4 linked regions of the Drosophila melanogaster genome follow. The protein of the gene in region 3 interacts with the protein of the main gene of each other region in a pairwise test. Each region holds a gene or a part of one and is shown on either strand. Other genes may lie near its edges.

Region 1 (7,430 bases), about 18 Mb from region 3:
AAGGCAAGAACTGAACGGGCGAACTGAACTGAGCGAGCTGAGATGTCGAGATACTCGTACTTGGAGCTACATCCACGTCCAACGTCCGCATTCGATGCTCTGTATATATGCACAGACCCCGTCACAAATATAGTAGCGACATCAGGTTGCCGACTCATAATGGGCAATATAATTGCATACTCTACTCAATATTTATTAGACCAACTATTTTTTATATATATAGTATACTAATTTTTTTAACCAAATTGTAATCGAGATTTTCATTTTTCGAAACCCGCCGCTATTGCCTTGGCCGCTGCTGTGGATATATAGCCATACTCAGAGTCTGAGCCATAGCCATACCCATGGCAATAGCCATAGCCATAGCCATAGCCTGGGCCATAGAGAGCGACATAAAAGGAAATATAAAACCATTTATAAAGCGAGTCAGTCAGGGGAGATTTGAATTGGAATTGATGGTGTAGTGCACTCGACTGCGCCGTGGTGTGCGTGCGGATATACACACAGATACGCACATACACAGGGCCAAGACATAGACGAAGCGCAGTCGCGTTGTGTGTGTGTCAAGGTGCGAGCATAAGATATATCTTCAAGATGGAGAAGTGGAAGGGTTCTTGGGTTTGGGCTTGGGTTTGGGTTCCTTCGGTTCGACTGAGTTTGGGTTTCTCGGGCAGCGAAACTTTGACGCTGGCAGCGCTGCTGCCAAGAAGTTTCCGGCACAAAAACTTTGCTCGAGCAGAGCGAACAGCTGCCCGAGGCACGGCAAAGGGACGGGAATCGAGTTCGGAATCTGCTTGATAGAGCTATGGAACAGTGAGCAACCCCTAAGCTGGCCGAGAGATAAGGCTCGATTCCGTAAATCCATGTCAACAACTTGGGCAGCGCTTGGATGCGTGGTAACCACCAGAGTCCACCCCTTGGGACTGAGCCATCCGTATCTGTAAGAGTCGCATGAAATCTCTCGCACTCACTTCTCTAATGGGCGCAACAATTGAATGTTTTTTATTATTAGCAAATCTATGTTGATCCTGAGATTAACCAGCCCAAGTTCTTAGATATCAAATTATATTTTGGAGGTTAAATCATCAGTGCCATCCTTACCTTCTTTAGCATTACATTTAAGTTACCTGGAAGTTTGTCTAAGGAAACCAAGATACGGCCTTAAATCTAAGAAATGAATCGGACATGCTTGTGAGATTTAGTCATCTCGATCTCCCGGGTTCTGTGTTAATCCAAAGACCGGCTCTGAGTCAGGCAGGTGGATTCCGTTTTGTGACTCAGCACCAGTCTATATCTACCTCGCAACTCTTTGGGCGTACGAAAAGGGGCGCGACCAAAGTCGTTCGAATTAGGCAGGCATCTCTGTGAATCTCCAGCGGTGTGTATCTGAGCGATACAAAATACAAGTCATAAGTGGGTGTGTGTTTGCTCCGATATGGTTTTCTGACGGTATGGCTTTGGTTCTGTTTTTTTTTCCGGGGGCTATATTGATTTCCGAAGGCGTACGCATGTATCTTTTGGTTTTGTCTCTGTATCTGTAAAATGGCTAGAGTGGTCGTGCTATTGGCATATGCTCTTTAGAGGTTTCGAGGTTGTTCCTATATACTGTGATATACTTTTATAAAAATATGTATTGGCTTGCCATTATTTCGATGACTCATGTCATCTGCTGTAAGTCCCAAGAGATAGACACTAGCTTGTTCGTCGAATTCATTTTTCATTTGTAAAGTTGTCCTTCTAGAGTTGCTAACTCATTGGTTTGTTGTAAATATCTGTGTTCTGGGAAAACACGATCTCAATCGGGTAATTTACTCGTTTTAATCATGGAGATCAGCACATTAATTTATTGTTATTTGCCAAACTCGTATACGTTTGAAACTGAAATATGTAAATATAAAACTCCGATTGCATTGCAATATGGAAATCGTGGGCTCAATTGCACTAAGATAGTTCAAATGCAGACACTTGTTGCAAAGTGCGCCAAGGAAAAGGGTTAAAGGATGCCAGACTCCATGTCCTAGCCCAGAACTTGCCAGACCTCCTGAACTTTGGCGGTAAATTGAGAACGCGACCATGAAGGAACACAGAACATCGCAGATACTTAAATTGAAGTTAAATAGCCAGCTTAATAATGTGTGCAAACACTCTCTTGCAGATTCCAGTGGATTTGTTTTAATTTCATTTACATTTCGTGACCTGGCGAAGCGTGAGCAACGCCAGCACTCCAGCATTTAAGATTCGGGGCCAACAGCAATTTCATCCTCATCCGCAGGTCGAGATGCCGACCATCCGGCGGTGCTGCATCATCGGATGCTTGTCCAATTCGCGTCAGCACCCGAGTATGCAGTTCTTTGCGTTTCCCCGGCCGGAGAACCCCTTCCACAAGCTGTGGAAGGAGGCGTGCCACGCCTCCCTAAGACGAATTGTGCCCTTCAAAAAGCCAGTGGTATGTGCCCTGCACTTTGACCCCAGTGTCTTGGGTGGCAGGCGACTGCAGTCGAATGCGCTGCCCACCCTGCGTCTGGAAGTTCCCTCCAACCTGGAGGCCGTTGAGCAGCAGGCCATGGTGGAGGAGATCGAGAGGAGCCGAAAGTGCGCCTACATCAATGCAGTGGTATACGAATGGCTAGTAAGGGCCAATATCAATCCCCAGCTGCGAGGTAGCATTACCCACGGAATGATCAAGGACAAGGCGGAGAATGCCAGACAAGTCATAGGGAGCACATCCTTTATAGCAGACAATCGCTGGTTAAACCGTTTCCGAGAGACTCATCTTCAAGGCTTTGCCCAAAAACTAGCCAGCAACCAGTTGAAGCCACTAGGATCCTCCCTGTGGATCCCGGACATCGTACAGGACCTAGCCCATCTCTTTCCGCCCGCGAGCGCTGAAAGAGTGGCCAAACTGGAGGAGATGCCCGAGCAGTACATGACCTACATGCAACAGTACGGAGAATACGAAGAAGATGATGACAGTATGGATGTAAAGGAGCAGAGCTATCAAGAGCAACAGCAGCAGCAACAGCAGCACTTTGCCCTCCAGCAGCAACATATGCAACAGCAGCAGCATCAAATGGGCCACCCATGGCCACCGTTTCCAGGACATCCCGGACATCCTACTCCACACCCCGGGTTCGCCAGCTTCAACGACTTTTATTTCGAGCGGCATCAACAGCAAATGCAACAGCAACTCCAGCAGCAGCAGCAGATGCAACAGTTTCCACCCACTATGCCACCTCAAAGGGAACCCTTTCAGCCCCAATTGCCGCCAAATGTTCCACCGCAGCGGGCCAGTCCCTTCCAGCCCGTTCAGTTGGCCAAGAGACCCAAAATGGAGTCACCCGATGATGACGAAGTGCAAGAGATTAACTCAGCGGTGAACTCACCACCATATCCGCTAGCAGAATCAACCTTAACCAGCAAGCACAGTCGAAGTTCCAGTCCCAACGAGCAGAACAACAATAATAGCGGGGGAAGAGACAGTGCCAGCAGCAAGGAGAACGCCCCCAAGGGAGGCGGAACAAGTGGCAAATCCACGCCTGCCCTTTCTTCCAAGGGAAAGGACTCACCTGCACCAGCTCGAGCTGCGTCCACCAAACCCGCCTCTGCTCCCGCCTCGCCAAAAAAGATCCCCAATGGATCCAGCTCCTCCGGCAGCCAAACCAATGGACACACATCCCCAGACCCCGAGGATAAGAAGGCTTTATGCATGCTGAAGGAGTTGGAAAGCTACCACCAGGCCTTGGAGTACCTAAAACCGCTGGAGGACTTCGTGCTCTTCAAGGAGAACTTTCGGGCTATTGGCTTGCTGTCCCAATTGGAACTGGTGCTCCGAAAAGGGGACAAGGCCACACTGGTCGAGGGTTAAGAGTTTTCTAATCGCGGACCAGGACAGCACAAAACATAAATGTGATGAACAGTGTACATATGTATCATGTAGTATTATTAAATCGTACTACCGCCAAAACAGTTGCTTAGGTTAACAAAGAATCTCCACTCGCATAAAGCTGAACCTAATTAATTAATTTATTAATTACTCTAAGTACAATAAAATGGAATTTATAAAATAATAGATATGTTTGTGTTTTATTTACGTATTTAAAACGGAAGTTGGTTTTATCTGAGTTCTTACGAGAATATTGTAGTCCTTGAAGTTGGCAGTGTTTTTTACATGAGTATGGCAACGCTGACTCGAAATCAGAGTGACCACGACTTAAAAGTATTTATAGATTGCTGTATTACTGTTCACCTCATGACTCGGCCACACTTGGACAATGTTTACTTCTTTTCTTCGATAAATCTGTAATTTTCGCGAACTAAAACAGAACAAATACCATAAACAACTGAATAAGGTAGAATAAAAACCGCACAAATGTCGCTTCTGGAGCAATACGAACAGCAATACGCCACGTTAATAGCAGAAATAACGGCCCATATTGGACGGCTGCAGCAGCAAAACAACAACAGTGAGTGGGATGATTGTCCATGGATTGTACATTATGGTGATTACCATTTGTCCATTTACTCCAGGCGAGCGCCATGATTTGTGCAGCAAGATCGACTCCAGTTTGCCCGAGGCTCAGGAATTGCTGGAGCAGATGGGTCTGGAGGTGAGGGAGCTAAATCCTGGACTGCGGAGCAGCTTCAACGGAAAGCTGCAGGTGGCCCAGGCAGAACTGAAACGGCTGCAGGCGGAGTACAGGTTGACCAAGGACAAACAGCGCTCCCAAGCCAACACATTCACCACTCTGGACTTGGGTGACAGCTATGAGGATGTGTCCATAAGTACAGATCAACGCCAACGCCTCTTGGACAACTCGGAAAGGATTGAACGGACGGGCAACAGGTTAACCGAAGGGTACAGAGTGGCCTTGGAGACGGAGCAACTGGGCGCCCAGGTCCTAAATGATCTGCACCACCAAAGGGAAACTCTACAGGGAGCCAGGGCTCGACTTCGAGAAACCAATGCCGAGCTGGGAAGAGCTTCTCGCACTCTGAATACCATGATGTTAAGAGCCCTGCGGGAGAAGGTGGTCTTGTATGGAGTGGGTGTCTGCTTTGTGGTGGCCGTGGGCGTCAGTCTCTATCTGACCTTCGCACCCAGTTCAAGCAGCACCGCCTCGTCGTAGTAATTTTAGCTAGCAAACCAATAGCCAATGATCTTAGCCCAAATTCAAATGTTATAGAAGCCTGTCCATTCCAATTTCGTGAGTTGATTATTTATTGTTTAGTATATTTTATTTTTACGAGATATTCTGTGGAAGAAAGCTGCAGATTACGCACTAATCTATATAAGATAGGATGGAGTATTACGTGCAATAAGAGTCGAAGCTTAGAGTAGTTATCTGCGGTCAATCGATGTCTATATATTTTGTTGTCCTTTTACCTTTAAGATTAAATTGACCTTCTTGTTAATCGATGGAATTCCTATTACTTTTTAATTCTTACCGCAGATTTCTAACCTATCACTCGCGTATCCGCCATCCTAGCTTACGTGTACAAAGTTTAAGTGGTTAATGTTTGGCGCCTGGTTAATAGAAACTAATCCTACTCTATGACTCGTGTTCGCGTTCGGGACGTATTTTTCGTAAAAATTCGAATTGAACATGTACGTATCTAAAAATCATAACATAGCCGAAAGCTATCAATAAATAAAGGAAACAGTAAAAATGCATCTCTGCGTGAGCATTGAGCCTGGCGGGAATAAGGGTTCCTAGCCGAACTCAATGTTCCCCAACTGCTAGCAGCCGCAGGAGGAGGCGTCCTCCTCGTTGGTCGCCGCGCCGCTGCTCGCAGTGTCCACCTGGAAGCTCTTGTGCTCCAGTGCCTGCAGTTCCATTTTGGAGCGATTGGCGTGGACCAGTTGCCTAGAGATGTCACGGAACATCTCCTCCACACCGGCGCCGCTGCGACAGGAGGTCTTGTACGTGGCACTGATCAGTGAGTGGCACTGCTCGCAGAAGGCCTCCACTTCCTCATCGCTGACCTCCGGCTCCCTGCCATCCAGATCGCTCTTATTGCCACAGATGAAGATCTTGGCATTCTCTGCATAGGTCACAATGTCCAGCAAGTGCTGCGACAGCGAGTGGAACGAAGCGGCGTTGTCCAAAGCAAAGACCAGGATGGCTCCCTCGGCGAACTTGTAGTACGAGGATGTGACCGAGGCCACACGCTCCATGCCACCGGTGTCCCAGAGTTGGAGCTGTCAAAGAAGACGGTATATACATAAGTGTCTCACAACGCAATAAGTTGTAAGTCTGAAGAACTGTGGCTTTCGTCTAGAAATCGAACTAAAGAGCTTAAGGATTCATATCTCAGCCATCACGCCCTTTTAGAGGTTCCCGAGCCCACCTTGATCTGCTTTTCATTCACACTGTATTCCCTATCGATGTGGTCCAGTCCCAACGTGGATTTCCTGTCCGTATCCGTGATGAAGGTGTTGGTGGCGAAGCGCCGGAACAGGGAGCTCTTGCCCACTCCGTAGTCGCCGCACAGGATCACCTTTTGTTTGGGTATGCGCATCGTGGCCATGGCTGTGATCGCTCGATTAATCCCAAGTTAATCCAATTAATATATTATTTTGCACCTGCAGACACAAAGGCGACAACAACAGTGCGACAACAGCTGTTTGTGCAAAAACAGCCAACATCGCAGAGTTGCCAGCCATTTGAACGCTATCGATAACCGATAATTCGAGTTATTCGAATTCAAATGGTCTTATCAGTTGAGATCTGCATTTGGTTTTAGTTTAGGCAAAACAATTCCACCCATTATAATAATAATATACAATATTGTAAAATTGTTTATGAAAAAGGGATTATTTATGGAGGAAGTTATCGTTTCAACATTAGTTGTACCTAAATATACGTACATAAACAGATATTCAACTTCTTTTTAAAAGGGAATATACAAATTCAAAAATGATTATCATCCCTCTTCTGAATGATTGAAAGAACCAGATCGATAGAAGTTATCATTTTTGAAAAACTATTATCTGATGTCAAGTTCTGCTGATAGTGCTGTACCCGTTAAATAAGCCCGTGCGCTTGAGTATCACTTTCAGTTGAAAATGTCGATTCGGTTGGTAGCACTCCTGGCATTGTTCGCCGCCTTGGCGCATGGTAAGAATCGTAAATCGAGCGCTATCTCTGAAATGTGGTAATCTTTAAATGAACTAATGGCGCATCCTAGGCAAACCCGGATACGGTCCCGGAGAGCAGGACTGGGGCTACGTAGATGTGCGTCCCGGTGCCCACATGTTCTACTGGCTGTACTACACCACCGCCAATGTTTCGAGCTATACCGAAAGACCATTAGCCATTTGGCTCCAAGGAGGTCCCGGTGCCTCTTCGACGGGGTATGGAAACTTTGAAGAACTTGGGCCCGTCGATTTGTACGGAGATTGGCGCAGCTGGACCTGGGTGAAGGACATG
Region 2 (8,458 bases), on a different chromosome or scaffold from region 3:
CTGCGCGTCTTCGAACTCGTGATGTCCCTGCAGACTCAATCCAATGACGTTGGCCTCGCCTGGCTAGATTAGCGTCCCCACCCACCTCCTTAGCACCTAATGTCATGTACCACACTTAATTTAAATCAATACTCTCTTCTGTAGCCATCGCAACCGCATCACTTCGCAGCCAATAAAGCTTATATTAAGTCTTCTGGCGGATGGCTAAGATTTTGCTTTAGTTTTAAAAATGTTCCGTAATCCCACACTCGCAAATGCACATACTTTTGAATGGTATCTGCTGAATTTGCAACACGTTATGATTTTTATTAAGGTGTTTTTTTTTTTTAAGGGTAGAGGCAAAGGTTTACTCTTTTATAGATGAACTAAAGTTCTTCAGTTAAGAGGAAACCTTCCTTGGCCAATAAAGCAAAAAACTGACCCCAAAACCTTTGTTGTGCTTTTACTTATCGTGGGTTGAAAGTTGTTATTACTTTTTGATGGAGTAAAATACGCCTTTTATTCGTCTAATATTTATTCAAAGGAAATGAAACATATCGATATGGAATCACTCTTAAAACACTGTGCGAGTAATGCGACTTTAGTTCAAATACAAATATATAAGTCTGGGCTGGCTCAACCTAGGATTTCTCAAAAATAAAGTAATTGGCAATGAATAAATAATGCACATTCAAGTAAATATATATACATATATATGATCTTCTAAAAAAAAAATTCGAACAAAAGTAGTTGTGGCTGTGAATTGGCCGAACATCAAGTGTAACTTGAAAACTATAAATCGTTACAAATCTTAGTCTAAACTTGAGTGCAAGTGGATATTTACAAAAGGATAGGCACGGTATGTGTGGTGTTGTCCAGTAAATACTGCTGGCATTCCTCAGCATTCGCAAAGTAACAATTAAAATGATCAATAAAACGTGCATTCAAGCTGCATCATTTCATTAACTACACTTTAGTTTCGCTAGTGAATACCCTAAATACATTTAAATTACATAAATCATTAAGTATTCTTATCGCTGCTTTACATTACAATTATCGTCTCAACAGAAAGTGCTACGAATTGTCCAGACGTTAATATCCATCCTAATATATATACACACAAAACGTGGGGAATATCAAGGACACCGGATGCACCGGATACACCAGAGCAATTACCGAACGGCGGCCTCCGGGTTACGGACAAATACTGTTGGCAGATCCGGATTCCTCCAGAGCTAGACGCGCGGCAGCAGCTTCTCCTCATCGCCGCCAGGACCATGCATAGTTGGCTTCGGCGCCGACCTGGCCGGATCGTAGCCGTAGAGAAATATGGAGGCGATGACCAGGCCAGCTCCGAAGCTGAACTGCAGCGTGAGATTGAAGTCGAAGATGTATATGGAGGCCACGCACGAGATGATGATGGCCAGCGAGGTGGCGAAGCCCTTGAGAATGTTATCCGCGTACTTGACCACCACGGCAACGATCAATCCACCGCCGGCCTGCAGCAGGACCAGGTACCAGACAAACAGATCGTAGCCCTTGAAGAATCCCTGGTCGAAGATCCTACTGCCGTCGTTAACGAAACAGGTGAGCAGGCCGAAGGGAATGCTGAGCAGACTCAACTGCACATTCCGCATCCACACGGAGATCTCGGCACCCTTGAGGATCTTCTCAAAGTAGATGCCCGCGAATCCGGAGAGGAAGCAGGCGCCCAGTGCGGCCCACAGTCCGAGCATCCTGTTCTGCTCGGGAGCACCGCCAGAGGAGGCGGCCGTGGCTGCAGCTGCGGCACCACCGGCTGAGCCACTCGTCGGACCCTCCGTTTGGGCCAACTGCACCAGGACGATGCCCATCACCAGGAGCAGCAGCGCACCCCACTGCGTGTTCAGCAGCTTGCGGCGCAGAATGACAACCGCGAACATGGCCGTGGTGAGAATCTTCAGCTGGTACGTCACCTGGTAGGTGGCCGCATCCAAATGGGAGGCAGAGACGTACAGCAGATTGTTTTGAACGATATAGACCAGCGAGGGGACGCACACCTTCAGCGTGTCCATGGGATTCGCAATGATGGTCTTGTGCAGCGAGCGTACAAACTTCTGGGCATCCTTGCCCTCCTCGTTGAAGACCAGGAACAGGCACGTGATCAGTTTGGCGAACTCTGCCATGAGTACGGCTGCGAAAGAGGGCGCAAAATGGCAATCAATCAATCAAATATATGTACATATATACTAATAAGTCCAAGTATCGCTGTTCGGGTTTTCAAATAAGTCCGGTTAACTTACACACAGAGTCACCAAAGCAATAACCAAAGTTTAATGGCAAAATGTAAACCCATATGTAATTCAAGAATGCCAACCAAACCTCCTTGAGCTATCGCGGTAGAAGTTCCCCAACAGTTTTATCAAGCTATTAGGAGCTAAATGCGGAAGTGGCTGCTTATCAGTTTCTTTGGCAGCTTCACATCTACCCGAACGACCATTCCCCGCCTGCCACTGCTCCTACACCACCTTCACCTCCACCTCTTCGACTCGTTTGCTTTTACTGCTGATGTTGCTGCTTGCGTGGACAGACCCACGTCGAGGTTTCGTGGAAGTGGCTCTGGGCAACGAGGTGAATCTGCTAAGCGGTGAACCGGCTTGACCTGCTGAGCCCGACGACCTGTTGGACTTTTGGATAAGCACTCACCCGTGGAGCTGAGGAAGATGTCGCCTGGCCGGGTGCGGGCGTAGCGCATGCTGAGGCCCAGGATGGCATTCTGCAGGGTCAGCGTCAGCAGGCTGATGTACTTCAGCGTATTGGCGTTCACTGTGCGATGGGAATAGGAATACGTGACGGGGGCGGGCAGGAGCGCCATGTCAGTACCGCTGGAGTAACGCCACCGCACTAAAGGCCAAATACTCACTGTGTATGCTATTCATGGTGCTACGCTTCTAGCTCTATTGTCTCAACTCCAAAACCAAATAGAAACCGAAGGCAAACAAAACGCCGTAGTTGGGGGTACACAAAGACTCCGTTCCTGGCCAAGATCAGTTGTCGGCGGGCCGTTCCGTTTGGCAGTTCGTTCCCTTCAAGTTGGCCAGAAAAGCAGAAGAGCGCAAATGAAGACGACTCCACTGGACCGGGCGACACGTAAACAACAATCAGAGCCCGAAGCTTCTGCCAGCGGCGGCTTTTTATCGCCGCCTATGTGGTTGTTGTTGCTGCGCGCCAGGGACGTGGTCCTGGGCTTGCAACGGGGGTCATAAATGCGAAACCTTCTTAATTGAATGCAAACAAAATTTAAAAGTGCATTGTGCATTTCAGTAAAGTAAATACACCTTACATATGCTCCTGGGGGATGGATCCCCATTTTAAAGCAAGCTACGCCCATGGCGTGCAGCTTTTGTTGCTATTTTCGCAGCAGAGACCGACTTTTCGATAGTCACAGTGCTGGCATTGTGGCGGAACTCGCGAAAAAAGAAGTTGCTTGCAAAAAAAGCTAGATATACAATAATCGGGCATTGAGATTGCTTAAATTAATGTATATATTATGACTTTAAAATTAAAATTAAAATTTAACAAGAGAGCATGGGGATCGAAAGTAGAAAACAAGAAAACTCATGGACGAAATACATAAATACATATTGTGCATGCTTGTTCTACATGCACATGTATGTTAAATTTTTAAGCCCAGCGAAATTTATTTTTGCCGCACTAGGTTGGCTATTTACTCAGCTGCCGTTGAAAATACGTCATGAAAGCCAGTATATGCAGACAATTAAAATAAACATAAAACATCAAATTAAGCCAGTGAATGATGAACAACCTGTTGGCGGCACCTGATAATTGCGATGCATCAAATTTACAATACAACATTACAAATATATTGCCATTTGGGGGGATTAAATAAATTAATTTAATCAAATGCAATAAATGAAAACATTAATAATTTCCGTGTTGATTTTAAATCTTTTACTTTTTTGAGTTCATCACTAGAATTCGCTTTCGCCTGCCGCCTATCGATAACATTGCTCGGTGTGGCGATTTCGTAAATAGTTTTCTAACTGAATAATGGTAACAGTTGGCCACTTTAGTTGATAATTCATAATTGCAAAGACCAGAGACGCCAGGACACGATGAAGGAACAGCCGCTAAAGGAGATCACACAGCTCATCCACGCCATCAAAGTGGGGTAAGTCGTCGGTTGGCAGGCACTGCGATTCATTTGGTTGTTAAAGTGGCATATGTTTTGCAGGCTGGTGGAGGGATCCTACAACATAACCAACAAGACGCTGGACATCTTCAAGTACATCATCATGAGCAAGAGCTGGCAGAACGCCGAGTGAGTTGCAAGGGATGGCACACCAAGGATAACACATTAACTGATAAACAACTCCCCCTCATTTGACAGTGCTCTCATGCAGATTGTGCGCGACCAGTGTAAGATCCTGCAGGCAGCTCTGCCCCAGGAGACGGTTACCTCGAACATTGCCAGGCGGATCCTCAAGCTGACTCGCGAGGAGTTCGATCTGTTGCACGCCAAGGTGCAACACTTCGCGGACGACTCACAGGCCTCGCTGTCGCTTCACAAGCTAGTCACGCAGACCAGCGAGAGCAACGTCAGCGTAGATTACTCGGTGCCCCAGCATGGATTGCGGGAAGCGCTGCTCGACCACCTGCAGGAGGTGGAAACGGAGCTGGAGACCAGTTCGGAGAACATCTGCGTCCAGGCCGAGGAGCACATCCATTCGTCGGAGATCATCTTGACACTGGGACACTCGCGCAGCGTCGAGAATTTCCTCAAAAGGGCGATCAAAAAGCGTCAGTTTCTCACCATCATCGTAGCCGAATGTGCGCCAGCCTGCCGGGTTAGTTGGGTCTCTTTATGGGACGACAGTATTTGTGGGGTGTAAGAAAATGCTCTTATGTTGCTTAACAACTGCCTATGTCTTTTACAGGGTCACAATTTGGCCGCCAGCTTGGCCAACGAGAAGAATGTGGAGATTGTTGTGATCCCAGATGCGGCCATCTTCGCTATGATGTCGCGCGTCAACAAGGTAATAATCGGTACGCACAGCGTGCTGGCTAATGGAGGACTCAGAGCGGCGTGTGGAGCGTATACAGTGGCCCTGGCCGCCAAGCATTACTCCGTGCCGGTCATTGTACTGGCGCCCATGTACAAACTCTCACCATTGCATCTGTGCGAGCAGGACGCCTTCAATATGGTCGGCTGTGCGGAGGATGTGATACCCTACGATTCGATTCCAGCGCGCGAAGCCAAGGTATACAGTCCCATGTTCGACTACGTGCCTCCGGAACTGGTCACCCTTTTCATATCCAACACGTAAGTAGTGCGCTTATCGGCCTTTCGACTCTTTTTTATTGCATTTATTGGATTCTTTTTTTACTTAGCGGTGGCCATGCCCCCTCGTATGTGTACCGCCTCCTTACGGAACTGTATCATCCCGAAGATTTGGAGATTTGAAATCGTGTTTGTCTCGTTGTTTTAGCAATTCTACCAATAAAGTCTACAGTAAAGTAGCAAGCCCATTTCGATTTGGATTGATTTAAATGCATCAATTTCGTAGACATTTATAAACTTTAAAATTCAACAATAATTATATCGAATAAGCAATAACGGTGGATCGGTTTTCGATTTAAGAACATTACTACTTTATCTTGGGTTGATATAGTTAATTTCAGGTAGCACGTTTCTCGTAATTTCCCTGCGGCACACGATCCTCAACCTATTTTTGAATATTTTCAAGCAGCTGCGTGAAGTCGGCCAGGCTATCGGCATAGTAATCCGGCTGCGCTTCCACCGGGGCGTTCAGCATGTCCTCCTTTGTTAGGCAGCCGCTAAGTACCAGCAGGGACTGGAAGCCGCAGGCCTTGCCGAACTGCACATCCTGCACCAGTGTGTCCCCGATGAAGATGCAGCGCTTGCAATCACGAATCTCGAACATTTCGCCAAACATTTCGCCCAAAATGGGAGACGGCTTGCCCAGAAACGTGGCCTCGCGTTGCGTGTAGCGTTTAACGTGCTCCAGGAAGTCAAAGAACCCGGCCACATTGAGATTCTCCGCCAGTGGCATGATGACATCGCTGCCGCCGGCTATCAACTGGCAGTCGTCATTCTCCTGAAGGTGCCTAATGGCCTTCGCCAGCTCCACGTACGAGAGGTCCAAGTGGATGTCGAATAGCACAGCGCCCACGGGCTTTTCAATGGCCAGGTGATCCACCAGCGACGCGGCCGTCAGGTGCTCCTTGACTTGCTGAAGGAGAATGATATGAAATTTAATAGTCACACGGAAGCTCTTGAACTAAATATATTGTATATATATATTTATAAGTAATAACCTTCCCCTTACCAGCGATTCAAACTCGATGTTGTGCTTACGTAACGTTTCGTTCGCTTCGAGGGACATGAGGGAGTATACCCGCTCCCCCGGCTTGTGCTTCTTCAGGTACCGGACAATGGTCTTCACCGGATGAACGATGTCGTCCTCCTGGACGTTCTTGGCGCCGATGTGGCGAAACTTCTCCATGTAATCCTCCTCGGACCGGAAGCTGTTGTTCGACACGAACTTGATCTGCTTGCCGGCCGCTTTCAAGGCATTGACGGCGGCTCCCGTGTTGGGAATCCAGCCCACCAGGAGCCAGACGACGCCATCGCAGTCGCTGATCACCAAATCGAAGGAATCGATGAACTGCCGCTGCTCCTCGAGGCTGAGCTTCAAAATGTGTCGTGGTGGCGACATGGTAATGTTGGTTTTTTGGCTTACAGGAACGAATTGGATGCTGGTTGCGCGCGCACGGAAATTCCACAGCCGACTAACCGCCTTTGCCGGCATTTAACCTTCAATGTCAACGCATTGACATTGTTCCCCCGGTTCCTCGAACCCGAACCCAACCACCCCTCGCCCATACAACCCTATGCCTACGTACATATGTGCTAAGTATCTTTTATTACACGATTTAGCGAACCCGAGCGGAGTGGCTCGTCCGATAAGATTCCGTATGTAAATATAAGATCTTCTGTGTGGAACGCGGCATGAAAGACTCGTGCGATTTGTTGTCTATTTCACATTCCCATCTGCCGGACAGAGCGGATAGCAGTCCGGAAAATACATACATACATATGTATCTCATTTGCTTCCTAGTTCGGATTTACAATCAAGCGTACGCGTGATTATACCAAGTTTATCTTAAGGAACAACTTATAAAATGAGTCTGCTGCATTCGTCAAATTTTGGTTATTCATGCTTTTGACTGTCATTTGAATTTACCGGATATAATTTAGAACCATATAGATTATCGAACTAGTTCCACTGCCAAATGTGACTGAAATATATTGGTCTCGAAATAATTGACAGCCTTATTATTGAATTCAATTCTATGCAATCAAAGCGAAACCACAAACCCAAAATGGCTGTAAAGAAAAATTTAATTAAATTTCAAAGGCTTTTGGCATGCTATAAATATTATATGTATTTTGCGATTCACATGCTTCCTTTTCTTCCTTTCAATTGCATTTCTTACAAATCCTCTGCGATACACGTGATTGAAGGCGATTGACATACATACATATGTATGTATGTAAGTATTGATCGGTGGTGCATCGGCCTTTTGTTGCTGCTGTTGTTCGCTCAAGCTTATAACAGGCAGGCACAAACGTGTACAGTGAACACTCGAGGAAACATGTATGAGCACGCTTTCCTCAGTTCGAAAAGCAAAGGTACAGTTGACGCATGGAGAAACTAATAAGTATGATGACAATTGCGAAAGTTCAGCAGCGTAGACAACAGAATGCCTGTCGCCCTACGGAGGTCCCACTGTGCTGGGCCGTAGACCCTGGCCACACATGTCAACACCTTGACATTGATGGCTGCGGCATTTGGCCAACGGAAGCGGAGAGGGGGAAATGGAAAAGCCGCCGGAACGGAGGAAACCACAAATGGCCAATAATTCAAATTCAAATGCAACATTTCAATTGGCGGGGTCCGGAAGACGCTCGTGTCCATGTCCGCGTCCGCGGCGGTGAAGGCAAAAGAACTGGCCAACGGGGCGGGTACTTGATGTGCGAGCGCGTGTGAGTCGCGTCGCTTGGGGTTCGGCTGCGTTTTTGGTTTGGTTTGGTTTGGTTTGGTTGGTTTTGGCTGCGGCTTTTTGGTATATCGCATCACAAGTCCAAATCGATTGCCGGGCCAGCTAGTTTAGTTAGGCGTCTCCCTGATAAGATACGAAAGTACGAGTTGCGAACGCTTGCGAAGAATTCCGCCAGAAGAAAAGCACATTCGGCCACCTGAGCTTGGAGCAACTGTTCCCGGCGGTTATACAACCAGACGACAACTAGTCAAAAACTAAGGAAAATTGCCGAAAATGTCTACCCTGGCCAATGGTGGAAAGGAGGAGGATCTAAAAATTCTGGCTCAGCTGAAGAGCATCGAACAGATCAACGAGCAGCGCCGCATATTTCTCAACAGCACGATCAATGAGG
Region 3 (6,453 bases):
ATCGCAGCAGCCCCAGCCCCAGCAACAGGGTCCGCAGCAGCAGCAGCAGCTTTTCTCGCCGGTGCTGATCCACGAGCAACGTCAACAGCCACCACAGCAGCAGCCGCAACCAATGCTGATTATGCCGCGTCTGCCAACCCAACAACCGCAGCAGCCTGCTCCTCAGGGCATTGGCATGCAGGCGGGCGATGTGACCTCAGGGTTCTCATACGAAAATGCTGTTGTTTCCTATGAACAGCAGATCCAGCAGCAGCTGAAACAGCAGCAACAACAACAGCAGCAGCAGCAGCAAAATCTACAGCAGCTGGATGAGCCGTCATCTGTGAACAGCTCCTCGAGTGTCGGTGCTGGTGGAGATGTCGAGAACAATGAATGGCATGCCCGTAATAATGATACAAATGCTGCCGCCACAGCAGCACTGACGAATGTGCTCAAAGGCGAGACCACCCAGGCCACGCCACCGGCACCGCCAACCAAGTGGAGCTCGGAGATGAATGCCATGAGTAGCGCCGCCTCCAATGGCAGCAGCAACACCAGCCACAAGCAGGAGTGGGCCACGCCCAGGGACCACAGCACTGGCGGAGGCAATAGCGGTTATGCCGATAACAACGAGAGTAACAACCATTGGAACAACTCGCAAGGAGACGGACGCCGCAACTCTGGCAATTATCAGCGTCGTGGCGGAGACAGGGATAACCGGGATCGCGATCAGGGAGGGCGAGGTGACGAGCGGCGCAACGGCGGCGACAGGGGCAACTACCGGTCGCGTCAATACGGCAACTCATCTAACACGAACGGACGCAATTCGGGCAATTCGAGCGGTGTGTACTTCCGCAACAATGAGTCGGGCAATGGTGGAGGCAACAACTACTACCAGAACGGAGGAGGTGGCGGTGGCACCTACAACAAGGAGTCGCGCTACGAATCCTCCGGCGGCGGCGGTGGAAGCTATCGAGGCCAGCGCGGTGGCAACCAGCAGCGTAATGTAAATGGCTCGTATGGCGGCGGCAGGCCCATGGGCGATCGTGGTCGTGGCGGAGCGGGCAACCAGGGAGGTGGTGGTGGTGGCTACATAAACCGTCAGAACCAGTCGCAACGCATGCCACTCGGGCTGGAGAACAAAAACTGAGCATACAATACGTATTAACCCCGCAAACAAAACACACATACAATTCATGCAAACCATAAACACAACCTCCATACAGAAAACAAGGAAACCAATCATCAACATGCAAGTAATGGCCACGTAGACGTACAATTATTGTTACGCAAACCACTCTCAACCATAAGAAATGGAAATCTATCAAAAAGAATCCTTTATAACGCAACTAGGGAATCGAAAATGAAGCCGACACACAAATCAATTCGTGCGCATTTTTCAATACGATTTATACCTATTTCCCTTGATTTTGGTTTATTCGATAATGTATTAATAATAAAACAAAATAGTTGTTAGAAACACGAAAGAATTACAACTAAATACAGGAAAGTAAGCGCTCCAAGGGTTTCTAAAACTCCCAGACAGGATAGGACAGGACACAACACTACTTCGTCCAAGGAAAACAAACGACAGATGGGCAAAACTTGTATGTAACTTGGATCTGCCATTTCTTGCTTGATTTTACTTTTTGTCTGTTTGGCTGCGTTGAAGCTGATTGATGATTACAGATGTCGAGAGAAAGAATATAAAAAGTATTTATACGTCTTAGCAATTAAATAACGATTCTGAATTATAAAAATTAATTACTATTACCTATATATATAAACGAAGGGATAAATATATTTATAGTTTGTGCTCTTACTGTCATGCTCTATCCCATTTCAACACCTTTTTTTGTTCTGCCAAACTTTTACACACAAACGATGAAAACAAAAATACAAAACCACGTAAAACATAATAGTTGTAATTATTGCCGCGTGAATGAAGAAGCGTGCACACTAACAGTGCATTATAAATGAAATGAAAACTATGTATTTGCAAAACAGTACATACATTAAACAAAAGTATATAAACCATTCGTTTTTTTGGACTAATTGGGGTTCCCAACATTTTTATATTTTAAAGTTACAAATGGAAAATTAAGTTTCTTTAACTATTTTTATCCCTGCTTCAGAAAGTTATATGGCAAATGAAAAATGTGTATAAAAGAAGCTAATCTTAAGCAAATCCCATTCCTACTATTCCATTTTGTCCTGCTTTTCGGACTCGACTGTTCCTCCGTCGCAAAGAAACCAAAGACCAGCCAGAATGAGAGTTATTCCGATGCCAGATAGTACTGTCAGTGGCTCCCGATAAACAAGCGCACCTAGGACAAACTATATAACGAACAGTAATCATAATTGAACAAATAGATCGGTGGATCACCTACCGATAAGACATAATTCGAAGCGGCAGTTAAAACGACGCACGTTAAAGTTTGTTCAGTCATTTGCAGGGCCTTCAAAAAGAAACGCAAGTTGCAAACGTTGCATGTTACCATTAACACTAGTGGCAGCAGCTGAAGTAATGCTATTTCTAATAAATAAAATAAAATTTTATAAATTTATAAACATTTTGCTTGTTTGAAGAAATCACAATCTTGCCTAAATAAGAAAAGTCTTCATTTATTTGCGAAGTATTCAGTAGTTTTTGGGCGCTCAGGTGGCTGGGAAGTTTTCCGAAAAAGCTTCCTGCAGCTGCGAAGGAGCCAGCCACCAAACTGTATCGATATTTTGCGAGTGATTCCATTAGGTTAGATCTTTAAACTTATAAGTTTAAACCAATAAAAATGTAAACAAAAGTCGAACGAGGCAACAGCTGATGCGCAAAGCTGCCAACTTACTTCCATATGACAAGCTTGCGGTTCATTAAAATCCCGCCAGGTGGAGCACCTTGGCGCGAGATTTAAAAGAGTAGATATTTACTTCAACTTCATTCTTCATAAGAAATATAAGCACAGGAATATAAAAAACTAACTGGCGCAAAATCAAATCAAATTTGTGTGTAATTTTTTCGTATTTCATTTGTTTATTTTACAAAACGTTCAGCTAATGCCTTGACATTCATCGAAAAAGTCTCATTTGCTAATTGCGCGTTGTTTTTGCATCTTTTGGAATTGTGTAGGTTTATATACAAAGACCGCTGCTACATAAATAATACATATATTCTTGTACCTCTCAACAAAACTCAACTTACATAACGCAGAGCAAAGTAGTTGCATTAAAAAATAAATCTCTATGCCGCCTGGCATTATTAACATTCCTTCAATTCAAACATTTAGACACTTATATGTGGAAATTGCTTGAGTGCTATGCATTTCGTCTCATTGCTTTGCTTTACTTTGCTGTCACGGTTTAACTACAATTTTGCTATCGTACTATATATTTAGTTAAATATTTACTTGTTGCATAATACTTCGCCTGTTTCGGTTGTAACACTCACACACGGAAACACAGATATTCCTAATGCACTCCAAGCAAATCTATTAAGTTAGGTTCTTACTTAGCATTGCTATATAAATATTTTTTGATGTTTTTTCATTTTGATTTAGTTAGTTGTTATATATCGCCTAAGGTAAACTGCTCACAATTATTTTATACGTAATTCTTTTAATATTCTTTAAAATGTATACATATGGTTGTATATTTGTATAAATTTGTTTCGTATAATTGGTTGTGTGTGTCTTTAGTGTGTTGTTGTGTCTGCTAGGAAAATGCAACGACTTTCAGCCGTTATCTAGGAGCTCACAGAATCGAACCCCGTTCTCAAAACCAACATGCATTTGTGTAATCAACATTCAACAATTCACTCACTGAATACGGCTAATCTAATAAAAAGACACTTTTTTCTTGCCATTTAACAAATGGCCTATCCCTCTGACAATTCTGGCTGCTCTAATACCCTGTGACTCTAGTAGTTCGCTAAGTTTCTACATCAGGACGCAACACCTGCGACTGGAACTGGTGCTATCGGTGACCACGTCGCCAGTGATGCCGCTGAACTTGTTCAGCGAACTGCCCGCCGGCGAGGAGCCCTCGAAGTCGGATAGCACGCTTCCCGCGCCCATGTGACCCAATGTTGGCTGCGTCGAGATCGGTGCGGATCCGTTGTTGTTGTTGTTGCTGGTGCTCAGGTTGTTGTTGTTGTTGCTGCTGCTGCCGCCGGCTCCTAAAACAGAACCATTAGTTGTTGTGGCATTAGCTGCTGCAATTGGATGGGCATTGCTAGCTGTTTGGGATGACAATTCGAAAGTATTGAGGACATTGGCGGTGCGTGAAAGCGAGCGTTGCTTCTTCAAATTGGCCAATGTGGCGCTGTAGCCATCCAAGGCAACATGCTGCTGCTGCTGCTGCTGTTGCTGTTGCTGCTGATGTTGCTGAAGCTGCTGGTGTTGCTGCAACAGCAGTACGTGTTGCTGGTGGTGGTGTTGCTGCTGCTGCTGCTGCTGCTGTTGATGTTGCTGATGGTGGTGCGTGCTATTGGTGTCTGGATGTTGGAAGTTTTTGGCAAGGCGTTGGGTGTGTTTGGTGTTTAGTGGTGCGGTGGTTGTTGTTTTTATTGTTGATGATGATGCGGGCAGGCAGACGACACAGAACGGGCGAAACGAGGCACAACAACGACAACAAAAAAGAATGAAACGGAAACAAGCAAATGTTATTTTACTTTTCTTCTCTTCTTTTCCCGAGAACTAAGTTAGCAGATACCCATTGACCAATTGGGAGTGATCGGGTAGATGGGATGGAGGTTACATGCGAGTCAAATGCTAATGCTTATTGCAGCCATGCTCCCCTGTTTTCTAAGTACGATTTCTAGTATCAGAAAACCCATTTAGTGTAGTAAGCTATTAAAATGGCAATAATTTACATAAATAGTAATATATGCTTACGCTATTCCACTTTAGGCATTTAAATAAAGAAGTCATTTACAAAGCATATTTACAACATAATGAAATAAAAAGTATCTTACTACAACAATGACTGTCATTTCCATAAAATATATCTCAACTAAGCTATGCATCTCACGAAGCTATCCTATTAAAAATCTCAAACCAAGATATCGATTATCATTTCCTACAGGGCATTCGTCATTCTATAGTCTACTCATGCTGTTAGCTCTGCTTGCTTGTTGGAAGTATTTTCATTTCCATTTTAGTAGAGTCGTTAAATAAACATTAAACATTGACATTGACACGGGGACAGAATGGCGCTTAAGCAGAACTCTTGTGATACGTTGACGCTCCTTGGGAGCCAAACAGGATGGTTGGAGGTGGCGTCTGGATGGGGTGCTTGAGTAAATGGTTGGCTTTGGTTGAAAGGAGAAAGCGGAAGCAAGCCTGACACGTGGCCAAGGGCGCTTGACTCACCCACGAGGACGGTGACCTGGACATTGATCTTGCCGTTGGCAGCCTCCTTCGACGACTGGATTTGAACGGCCTCGGCACTGGCCGCCGTACCCTTCTCGGTGAGAATGACGGCCGCCGCCGAGGTGGCTCGCTGCATCTCTCCCGCAGCACCTGCAGCTTTCAGGCGTAGCAGTTCATCGTTTTCCCGGCCATCCGGTGGACGGCGCGACGGATAGGAATGTGTGGCGTTGGCCGACAAAGCGGCGGTGGCATTATCCAGCGCATCGGCGGACTTGGAGTGCGGCAGTGGTTGGCCATTCGAACTGCCCGTCGAGGGTCGCTTCTCTCCGTTGTTGTTTCCGTAACCATAGCCATTGGTCAGCGGATCCCCTGCCGATGAGGGAGCCTCCGAGTCCGTCGCCTCCTGCGCCTGCAGACGCAGCCGGGTCTCCTCGACGGCATCCTTTTTGGTTGTCAGCGTTTTGTCTCGCAAACTAGTGCGTCGCACTGATTGGGCTCTGTGGAAAGCATAGTTAGTTTTAATGGTTATGTTTAATGGCTCATAAATGTTATGTAAATGCCTTGTGTTGTTGCTCTGTGAGCGTCGAACGCGTCGTCGCTGCGCCTCGGCCAGTCGTTTGCTCTCCTGCTCCGTCTTCAGCTGTTCGATTCGCTCCCTGATTTCGGGATCTTCACAGATGTCTACAAAGGCGGATGGATTGATTTGTTAATATCCAGTTAAAACGTTTAAGTGTATTCTTATGTTTATGGCAACTAACATCTAAATGAACGTATGTACTATATGTGTTTATTTGAAATACTGAGCTAGGAGGAACTTTACGGAAATGGGTAACACTTTTTCGAGTTAGCCATTATAAATCGTTGATCCTGCCAAGCTAAAAAATTAATGCAATCTTTCTTCACACCTGAGAGCGCTTTCCTCCTACTCCTACTACAAATAGTCTAGATTTACACATTTTCCGTGTCGCATTAACAACAATTTATAGCTCAATTTCATATTCATGGTTATTTTGCTCTAGCCGGATAACCGTTGATTCAGTGCCGCAACCTTTTCGCATATTCTCACCTGAAGGAGTCTCGTCGTCCTTGTTGCGAACATTCAGATCAGCAC
Region 4 (8,411 bases), on a different chromosome or scaffold from region 3:
GGGTAAAGATGATCCGCCAAAGGCGGAATCAAGCGTAGGAGGCGTTCCTCCGCCCGCCTCTACCACACCCACATCCAGTACAGCGGGACCGGAATCGGGATCGGCTCCCTGCCCTGGTGAGATTAACGGCAAGACAATAAAGACTATGTCCAGCTCGAGCAGCTTCGATTCTAAGGCCAATTTGGGCCAAAGCTTTCGCTACAAGATGTCCGCCGAGGCCAGCAAGCTTTTCCAGACTCTCCAGGAAAGCCCACTGCCCGTGGAGGTGAGTGATACGTGTGAGTTAATAATTGCTTCCAGCTGACAAATTCCATTTCCTCTCCAGCAAAGGACTAAGCGTCGTGTGCACGTGGGCAGCACCAATGGCAGCGGCGGTGACTCCGGCCAGGAAACGAATGATGCGAAATCGAATGGCGACAGGTGAGTCTTGCAGTCACAGCGATAGTTTCTTGACTAATGTCGTTTTCTTCCGTTTCCGCAGCCGCTCGGAGAAGAAAGTTCTGGCCCAAGGCAGCTCCAGCACAGATGAGGGCTGCGAGACAGACCAGGGCAACGATCCGGGCTCTGCTTCCCAGGAGTCAAAGGGCAGCAATGGCGGCGGTAGCGGTAACGCCAACGGCGGACCCACCTCGCACTCCAGCAGCGATCTGACGCGGCTCGTTGGAACCACTACCTCTGGACAGAGTCACAAGATGCGCTCGTATGCCAGTAGTAGCTCGTCCAGTGGCGTTCTCGCCGGGAGCGCTGGTAGCTACTCCAAAAGTCTGAGCCAGAACCTGAGCCGCGGCTCGTCCAAGAGCAATTGCAGCGGTCCCTACGATAGCTTGGACTTTGCCTTGCCTTCTGGCAAGGGCAGTCTACCCTCGTGCATGGGCTCAAGTTCGATGCTGGCCACGCCCACTCCGGCCTCGGCATCGCCAGCGGGAATCTCATCGGAGCATTCATCGGAAAGATCGCTGTACGGGAGCCACAACTCCTGCATCCATATGCCAGGAGCTCTGCCGTTGGGCTTGGGCCTTCCTCAGAGTTCAGCCTCCACGCCCACGCCGAATCCTACGCCTCCGCCAAATGGCGGTGGTGTCACGTTCCTGGACAAGCGTTCACCCATACACTTTCGCGAAGGAAGACGGGCGAGTGATGGCCTGGTGGCCCAGGGCCTGCTTAGCTCTGGTTCCTTGCTGGGCACCAGTCGTGTGTACGGAAGTTATCGCTACGAGCAGGCCAAGCGTCACGGTTGGCTGGAGATCCAGCAGCTGCAGCAGCTGCAGCAGGAGGCGGCTGTGGGGCATTCACACCCACATGCCCATCAACATCCGCATCAGCATCCGCATCCTCATCCCCAAGCGTACGGCTTGGAAGAACTCTGTCAATTTCCAAATGGTCAATTCTATGCTCTGCCGGGCAAGCATCATCCGCTGCTGACTTTGCCCCATCATCATGCGCATCCTGCGCAGCATCACCATGGCCATCATTCGCTGTTCCATTCAGGCCACCAAGCCACACCTCTGCTCCTGGAAGCCGCTGCTGGTGGGGATATGTATGGTCATGGATGCTATGCTCCGCCACCGCCGCCACCAGGGCTATACACGCACCATCAGTTGGGCGTGGGTATGGCCGTGCCCATGTCCCCGATGCAAAAGCCACCGCTGCAGCAGCAGCTACTGCAGCACCGCCTGCTTCAGCAGAAGCGTCAGTTGTTCCAGAAGCAGTACGCACTGGAGGCGCAGCTAGCCGGTCGACATCACCACCATCAGCAGCACAGCCATCACCACCATCACCACTTTGGCCACAGCCTGGGTCCGCCACCGCCGCCGGCTCCGGCTCCGGAACATCACCTGGCCGACGAGTTGTACGAGTTGGCCTTGCTTGATCGGCCCAGGAGCGGAACTCCTAGGCTTCAGCACTCCATGACCATGCCCGGAGCTCATGCCTTCAGTCAGATGAACCTCAAGACTTCCTACATCAGCCAATCGGACCAGGTGCCTGGTGCGGCGCCTAATGGAGCTGGTTCCGGAGGATCAGCTGCTGGGGTATCATGCTCAGCTCCACCGTCCACGGCGCCGGGTACGCCCACGGTCAAGTGCAAGCCTACCACGCCCCACGGTCACAGCCTGGACTCCGACTATCATGTAAGTAAGCTAGATAACGCATATTAAGATGATTTCTCAGGCATCCCAAGTTCGTATATAAACCTTATCCGTTTTCTCCTTGTGTCCTCCGCAGACATCGACGCCGGTGCTCAGCCTTTTCACGCCCAATTGGCAGTCGCTGGTAAAGCCGCTCAGCGAGAGCCCCATCCTGGAGATATCGGAGCACCTTGAGTCAGTCTGAGGCCGTGTGTGATGTTATTCGGTGGAGGGGTTGGGGCAATTCGAATGGGAGTAGATTTGTAAGTGGAAGTCGGTGGGAAAGGAAAAGGGGTAGGACTGGACATCGAACTATAATGGGGGCTGGACCGGGACCGGGGCCACCTTTTTATTAAGCTCGCAATCGCAATTATGAATTATTTGATCCATATACGATATACACCCATACATACATATAAATAGCCTATATAGATATGAATGCGGGTCGGAATCGGAATCGGAGTTACATCGATTCACGTTTATTGGAACCGATAGAATCATTACCGAACCGGGCGAAGCAGTAATATTGAATGATTTAGTTGTGTTACTAGTCTTAAGTAGTCCAAGTTTCGTACGCATATACGCAGACATATACAATATGTATATTGATAATAATAGCGTTAAGCTATAGCTCTACTTATGATTACACTATACACTATTGTATTGCCCCCACGACAGTGGACGAGAACAACGTAACTACATATATCAATTATTCGAAGCATTTATTGGGGGCATAGAAAGGGCGTATCCATATAAGGATATATCTATTATGTATTGGTACAATAATTAGCGACAAGCAAAGAAAAAAAAAACAAAATTTAAACAAACATCGATTGTTCTTAAACATGGAATTCAAATGTAAACCAGATATTAAAGTCATTTGGTATAAAATGCAATATACTTCTGGAGTTCCTACATTATATAGATATAGATATAGATATATATGGGTGATCTGTGTTTTCGTGTGTGCGTGGAAGGGACGACCGGCCGGATCATGTGACTAGAAATCTTTTTTGGAGGCACTATAATCACCAGGGGATCAAGGAATTTTTTCTTACCGCAGATCATTCAACATGACATTTGGGTACTTCTCCCATCGTATTACTACCATATGGCACACATATATCATATCCCGCTAGGACGGAGGACGATGAAGGTGTTAAGGCATCTGTCGGAGTCACGTCGTGGCCTTCACCTGCCGATTGGACTCCAGGTGCTTTCGCTTTGCATTGGCCTGATTCCGCTGCTTCTGGGTATCTGGAGAGCCATGGCAGCGCAGCAAGTTCCAGTAAGCTCTTCGGTATTCGGAGCTCATCAACACGTAGATCAGCGGGTTGATGCAGGTGGTCAAGTAGATAAGTAGATAGCCAGCAATGTTGAACCAGTGCACCTCGGTGGCGCTTTTCCATATTTTGGCCACCGTGATGGGCAAATAACAAATTACAAACCACACGAAGATTACCAGTATCATCTTAAGCAATCTCCGGTCCTTGGCACTCATCCTTCCCGGGTAAATAGAGGATGCATTTGAGGTATTGCCCATGGAGGCGTAGTGGGATTTCCGCGGGCTAAACCGTGTGAAGGAGGTGGTGCGCAGGGATGTAGTGATAGGGTTCTTTCTGGAATGGATTTACGCATTAAGGTTGAGTGAAATGGCAAAGAAGCCTTCAACAGCTACTCACCCATGGGTTTTGCCCATCTCTAGTTGCGTTTGACTGCGTCCCAGGCTGACCTTTTCCTGATCCCGATCCCTTTCCTTCTCCCGCTCCTTGAGCACCACATTGGCATCAACAGGCGGTGGCTGCTGGTCCTGATCCCTCCTCCGTATGCTGTACGAGATCGGCAGACTGTCCGTCGAAGCATTGTCATCGATATACGCTAAGTTTTCCTCCACCACAAAGGGTCGTCCTGCGATCGGTTCGTTCGCCTCGCCGCTGGACGTGGTCACCTTCTCCGGCTTCTTTGGTGTGGCCATGGCTTGAATCTGATGCTGCGGCGCGGAGCTGGGAGTCACATCGCTGACATTGGTCTTGCCAGCGGTTCCCGCGCGAATGGCCGCCTTTCGCACCAGCAGGAAGATTCGGGCATAACAGATCACGATGCAGATGCACGGCACCATGAAGGCGGCGATGAAGAGGAACTCCTTGGGGGATCTACCATACCGATCATGCATGATGGAACACGAGCCGATGCTGACGTCCAAGCCAAAGATACCCCATACGCCCCGCCAGGTGGGTATCATTATGGAAAACGTGGTGATCCATGTGCCGGCTACCATCAAAGCCAAATATCGTCGCTGGTAAATTCTGGAAGAACGGATTTGAACCAGTGGGAATTGTATTTTGTACCATGTCTAATTTGATAATAATATATGCTCATTGTATTCAAATATATTATTTTAAGATATCCGTAGCTCACGAAAATAAAAACTAGCTAGTTATTTATTTCTCCAGAAATATTGTAGTTCATATTTTATAAGATATTAATTTCCGTTCAGTTTAATTGTTTATTACGAAAATATTGAGATCGCTGAACCGACCTTTTCTATAGCATTTGCCTCTAGCAAGTAATGTTCTCTTTTTTAGTTAATTAAAAAACATCTACGAGAAGCCATACATTTTCCTTTTTATAAACAAGTTCAAAAGTTTATAAGTTCAGAAACACAATAACATATGTGTGGGTTTTTTTCTCAGATTAAGTGGTAGGTTACCATGCGTATCATAATAAACAGATAAGCACCAAGAGGAAGAGTTGGGCACTCTGAATACCCTTCAAGATTTAGGCAGGACATGCCGATATGGGCAGGCCCATTCTCACCTTGGATACTGCCTGGGATGGGCGATAATGATGTACCGGTTGATGGTGATCAGCGACACGGAGAGCAGGGACACCGCCAGCAAGCCGTAGCGCAGCATCGGAAACAACCTGCACAGCAGATCACTATGGGTCCACGCCCGCTCCTTGAAAGTGGACGCGGCCAATGGCAGATTAAAGCAGCCAAAGAGTAGATCCGAGCAGGACAAATTGATTATGAATATGGCCGTGGAGTTGCGGGTTTGACGACCTCGCGACAGGGCCACTATGGTCAGTAAATTTCCGGGAACGCCCACAATGATGAACACTATGCAGGCCACCCAGGCGATGGTCAGCAGCTCGTCCGAATAGCCCTCGAAGAGCACCTGGCGCCTGTCGTCTACATTGAGATTAAGATTCATATTCAGATTGAGGTCCACGTCCACGTCCAGGTCCAGGCTGTCGGAAAGGGGTACCGGCAACACCGCGTCCTGATCCGCCATGTGATCAGTAGCATAGGGATCCGAAAGAGGCAGCGCTATCGAGATCGGATGCGGAGTTGGTCCGGATTTTGGTGGGAACATCGCGCGGCACTTTGTGTTCGGCAAAAGACGCGTTGCTCGTTCCTGCGCCGAATTTGTACTAAAACTGAATTCTCCGCATCCATACACCGACATGGTTCCCACCCAAAAAGTGGGCCCGAAGGCAGTCGCCGCCAGCCAAGCGTACAAAATATTGAGAAAAAAAAAAAAAACAGCAGGCGAACTAGAAAAACTTTCAAAAAGGAAAACAAAAGAATCTCAGAGCAGCAACAGCAGCAACAACACACATTTTTATTGTATACAACAATTGACTTCATCATCGGGTAATTTGGTAATTTGCGTGTGGAATGGGCGCTTTGTTTACATTGTTCCTATTCGGTGTTGTTTCTTAACCGCCCTTCCCGCCCCATTCCGCCCCAATCCACTCGACTCTTTCGCTCTTTCGTCGATATTCTGACGGGGTCATGTTGCTGTTGTTGCCGTTTTTCAAAGTTTCAGATACTAGACCAGGGATACCATTGCCCAAAATGGTTCGACGTTTTAGCTACATACTTGAGCATTCCGACAGCCAGAACATACATACTTGCATTAGACTAGTCTTTGCATCAGTCTGGTGGAATATAAGTCATGAGCAGCATGGGGAAAGTTATCTGCATTGCTAACACAATTCAAGACTTATCACTTGCAATGAAGTAAGAAGTTCCCCTCCTTAATTGATACCTTGACCGATACGTCTTGGATGCTTAAAAAATTCGGTGTGCCAGAGGTTACATGAATATATTGGGAATACAATGAATAAGCTCCTACAGATGAATCGAGTCTATTCGTAGCCCTGATTTCGGGCCATACGCACCTCTCCGGCATTTTTGAAATGAAAAACTTTTCGGTTCCTGGGTCGTGTGCATGTGTGTGTGTGTTTGTGTGTGTGGTTGCATAGTTTCCTCTGGCAATTTTCTGGATAATAAATGGGCGGCATCCATTCGAAGCGAGGAACTGAAAAAAAAAGCAAAACTTTTGCGAGAGGGACTCATTCGAATAAATATGCCTATAGATCGAATTTGTGCGTAGAATGAATACTCCAGTCATGGGCGATTAATCCTGAATCATAACTCGAGACTATGCGTTTTTCACGCTCTCATAACCCGTTTCGAATAATGAGTCAAACCCCGGAAGCCTGGTGTCACACGACGTCAGCGTACATATGTAGTCTTAATTAATCAAGCCAATATGCCGGGGGAAACCTCTCTACTTTTCCGAGGGTCAGAGTGCGGGTCGTCTGTTGGGTCGAATTGAGTATTGTTTGCCTTTTGAAAAGAAAAACAGGCGGTTCTAGGGAAAACTCTTTGGCAACGGCACGAATACGAATACGTTGTTTGTTTTCATGCAGGCCAATAGTCCGGGAATTGCAGCCGACTACCCAAGAAAATAACATTCAGTTCTTGAGGAAATTAATATAATTATAGCGCCATATCGCATTCACTTAAATGACGAGAAATTTTTAAGTTTAAGATCCTAGGAACTGGATGGAATACAATACGTGATAACGAAACATATGGCTCATCCTCGTACTTGCGAAAACATGCGTTTTCATAAAACAATACAAGGCTTTATCGAGCTTAATCTAAACGTATAATCCCATCATTTTTTAAGAAATTAAAAGTGCACTATCCTTGCGCCCACCACTGTACTTGGAAATGCCTGCGGGATGGGCATAAAAGTGGAAACTAAGACCTCCCCCCCCCCCCCACTCATCAACCATTCTTGATATGATTGTGAATACGATTCGAACGCCAATCGACGCCCGCTTCGGATTCGAATTCGGATCCAGAGATCCAGACTAATGTAAACTTCTCCGGCGTACTTACATATACGCCTATACGCATACGCACACGCACGGGCCCATGTTTAGATAGCCATAAACTATCGTGTTCTTCACACAATCCGCAGCAAACAACAAACAATGAGAGTGCGCACAAATCCCTACGTCTTCAGTTCGATATCTGCACCGAAAACATTTATTACCAGGTCACAGTTCCTAATGCGATATGTGCGGTAGCTCCAACCATCAGTTCCTTACCATGCGACAGACCGTTTTTCCCAGTGCAGCCATGTTGGATCGCCTCGATCGATGTCGAATGTCCAATTGTGTAAACATTAGAATGCAGACACATGAAGCCTTATCATTGCACATTTGCTTCAGTGGAGAGAGGAAGCAGAAGCGGCGTATCTGCGATATGCATCTGATCGATCGGCAACCATTGAGCGGCCTCCACCCACACCCGCCCCTCGGTCGGTCACCAGATGGCCGATGGCTGATCGCCGATCTCCGCCTCTCTGTCTGTCCCTGTCTGTCTTCTGCGCTGTCTCCGGCCGGCGGGCGAGAGTGCGGGAGTGCGAGCGAGCAAGAGAGCAGAAGAGAGCGCCAAGTCGTGGGGGCAGTAACAGGGGCGCGCCAAATGAGGGGAAACCTGACTAACATGGAGCGCAACTGACGTGCGTTCAGACGGAATATCTAACGAACGGAGTATACCCTCCCTCAATCAGTTCCCTACGCCACTGGCCGGCGGCGGAGAGTCATTTAGACACTAGTTGAGAGTGAGAGTAAAGAGTGAGAGGGGGCTGCCGATTGTCAACTGGCAATATCGCGACTCGCTCTACGCTGCCCGCACTCGACGAACTGCACTCGATCCGGCAGTTATAGACGATCCAATACGATCCGGCACGAGAACGCAGGCGCTACGCAATTTGTCCGTTACATTCAACCAGTACGGATAATAAACAACGAAAAGTAACTACGATTTCAGTTCGACTTGAGTGACATTCGATACGATACCGTTGAAGCAGTCGCGAGCGTGTGCCTATTTGTTAGATATTTAATTCGACTGTTCCTTTTTGTTTTTGTGATTATGTCAAGTGCTGAGTTAGGGCAACCTGTAACCCTTTTATTCTC

Evidence for each region.
Region 1: the proteins of CG42495 (region 3) and Vti1a interact in a two-hybrid assay, tested with the Drosophila melanogaster proteins (one large-scale study listed by BioGRID).
Region 2: the proteins of CG42495 (region 3) and Ugalt interact in a two-hybrid assay, tested with the Drosophila melanogaster proteins (one large-scale study listed by BioGRID).
Region 4: the proteins of CG42495 (region 3) and CG4313 interact in a two-hybrid assay, tested with the Drosophila melanogaster proteins (one large-scale study listed by BioGRID).

What each region holds. Positions count from the first base shown.
Region 1 is NT_037436.4:689,718-697,147, reverse strand, and holds Vti1a (vesicle transport through interaction with t-SNAREs 1a), read left to right. Parts: upstream 1-4,228; 5' UTR 4,229-4,369; coding exon 4,370-4,463; intron 4,464-4,527; coding exon 4,528-5,126; 3' UTR 5,127-5,662; downstream 5,663-7,430. Other genes in the region: CG13894 (uncharacterized protein), read left to right, coding at 2,279-3,865; RabX6, read right to left, coding at 5,738-6,199, 6,349-6,528; CG32483 (uncharacterized protein), read left to right, coding at 7,067-7,118, 7,189-7,430.
Region 2 is NC_004354.4:2,700,624-2,709,081, forward strand, and holds Ugalt (UDP-galactose transporter), read right to left. Parts: upstream 3,123-8,458; 5' UTR 2,898-3,122; coding exon of another isoform or gene 2,882-2,897; 5' UTR 2,834-2,881; coding exon 2,665-2,833; intron 2,153-2,664; coding exon 1,215-2,152; 3' UTR 501-1,214; downstream 1-500. Other genes in the region: Lint-O (L(3)mbt interactor in ovarian somatic cells), read left to right, coding at 1-72; eIF2Bbeta (eukaryotic translation initiation factor 2B subunit beta), read left to right, coding at 4,095-4,150, 4,214-4,300, 4,370-4,826, 4,917-5,302, 5,371-5,443; CG2680 (uncharacterized protein), read right to left, coding at 5,706-6,233, 6,330-6,719; CG2681 (uncharacterized protein), read left to right, coding at 8,341-8,458.
Region 3 is NT_037436.4:18,663,710-18,670,162, reverse strand, and holds CG42495 (uncharacterized protein), read right to left. Parts: upstream 2,803-6,453; 5' UTR 2,729-2,802; coding exon 2,584-2,728; intron 2,516-2,583; coding exon 2,370-2,515; intron 2,317-2,369; coding exon 2,179-2,316; 3' UTR 2,028-2,178; downstream 1-2,027. Other genes in the region: Capr (caprin), read left to right, coding at 1-1,129; MYPT-75D (myosin phosphatase targeting subunit 75D), read right to left, coding at 3,909-4,465, 5,343-5,839, 5,903-6,023, 6,409-6,453.
Region 4 is NC_004354.4:2,049,838-2,058,248, reverse strand, and holds CG4313 (uncharacterized protein), read right to left. Parts: upstream 5,566-8,411; 5' UTR 5,504-5,565; coding exon 4,944-5,503; intron 4,433-4,943; coding exon 3,809-4,432; intron 3,746-3,808; coding exon 3,304-3,745; 3' UTR 2,835-3,303; downstream 1-2,834. Other genes in the region: Sik2 (Salt-inducible kinase 2), read left to right, coding at 1-265, 326-420, 482-2,129, 2,224-2,331.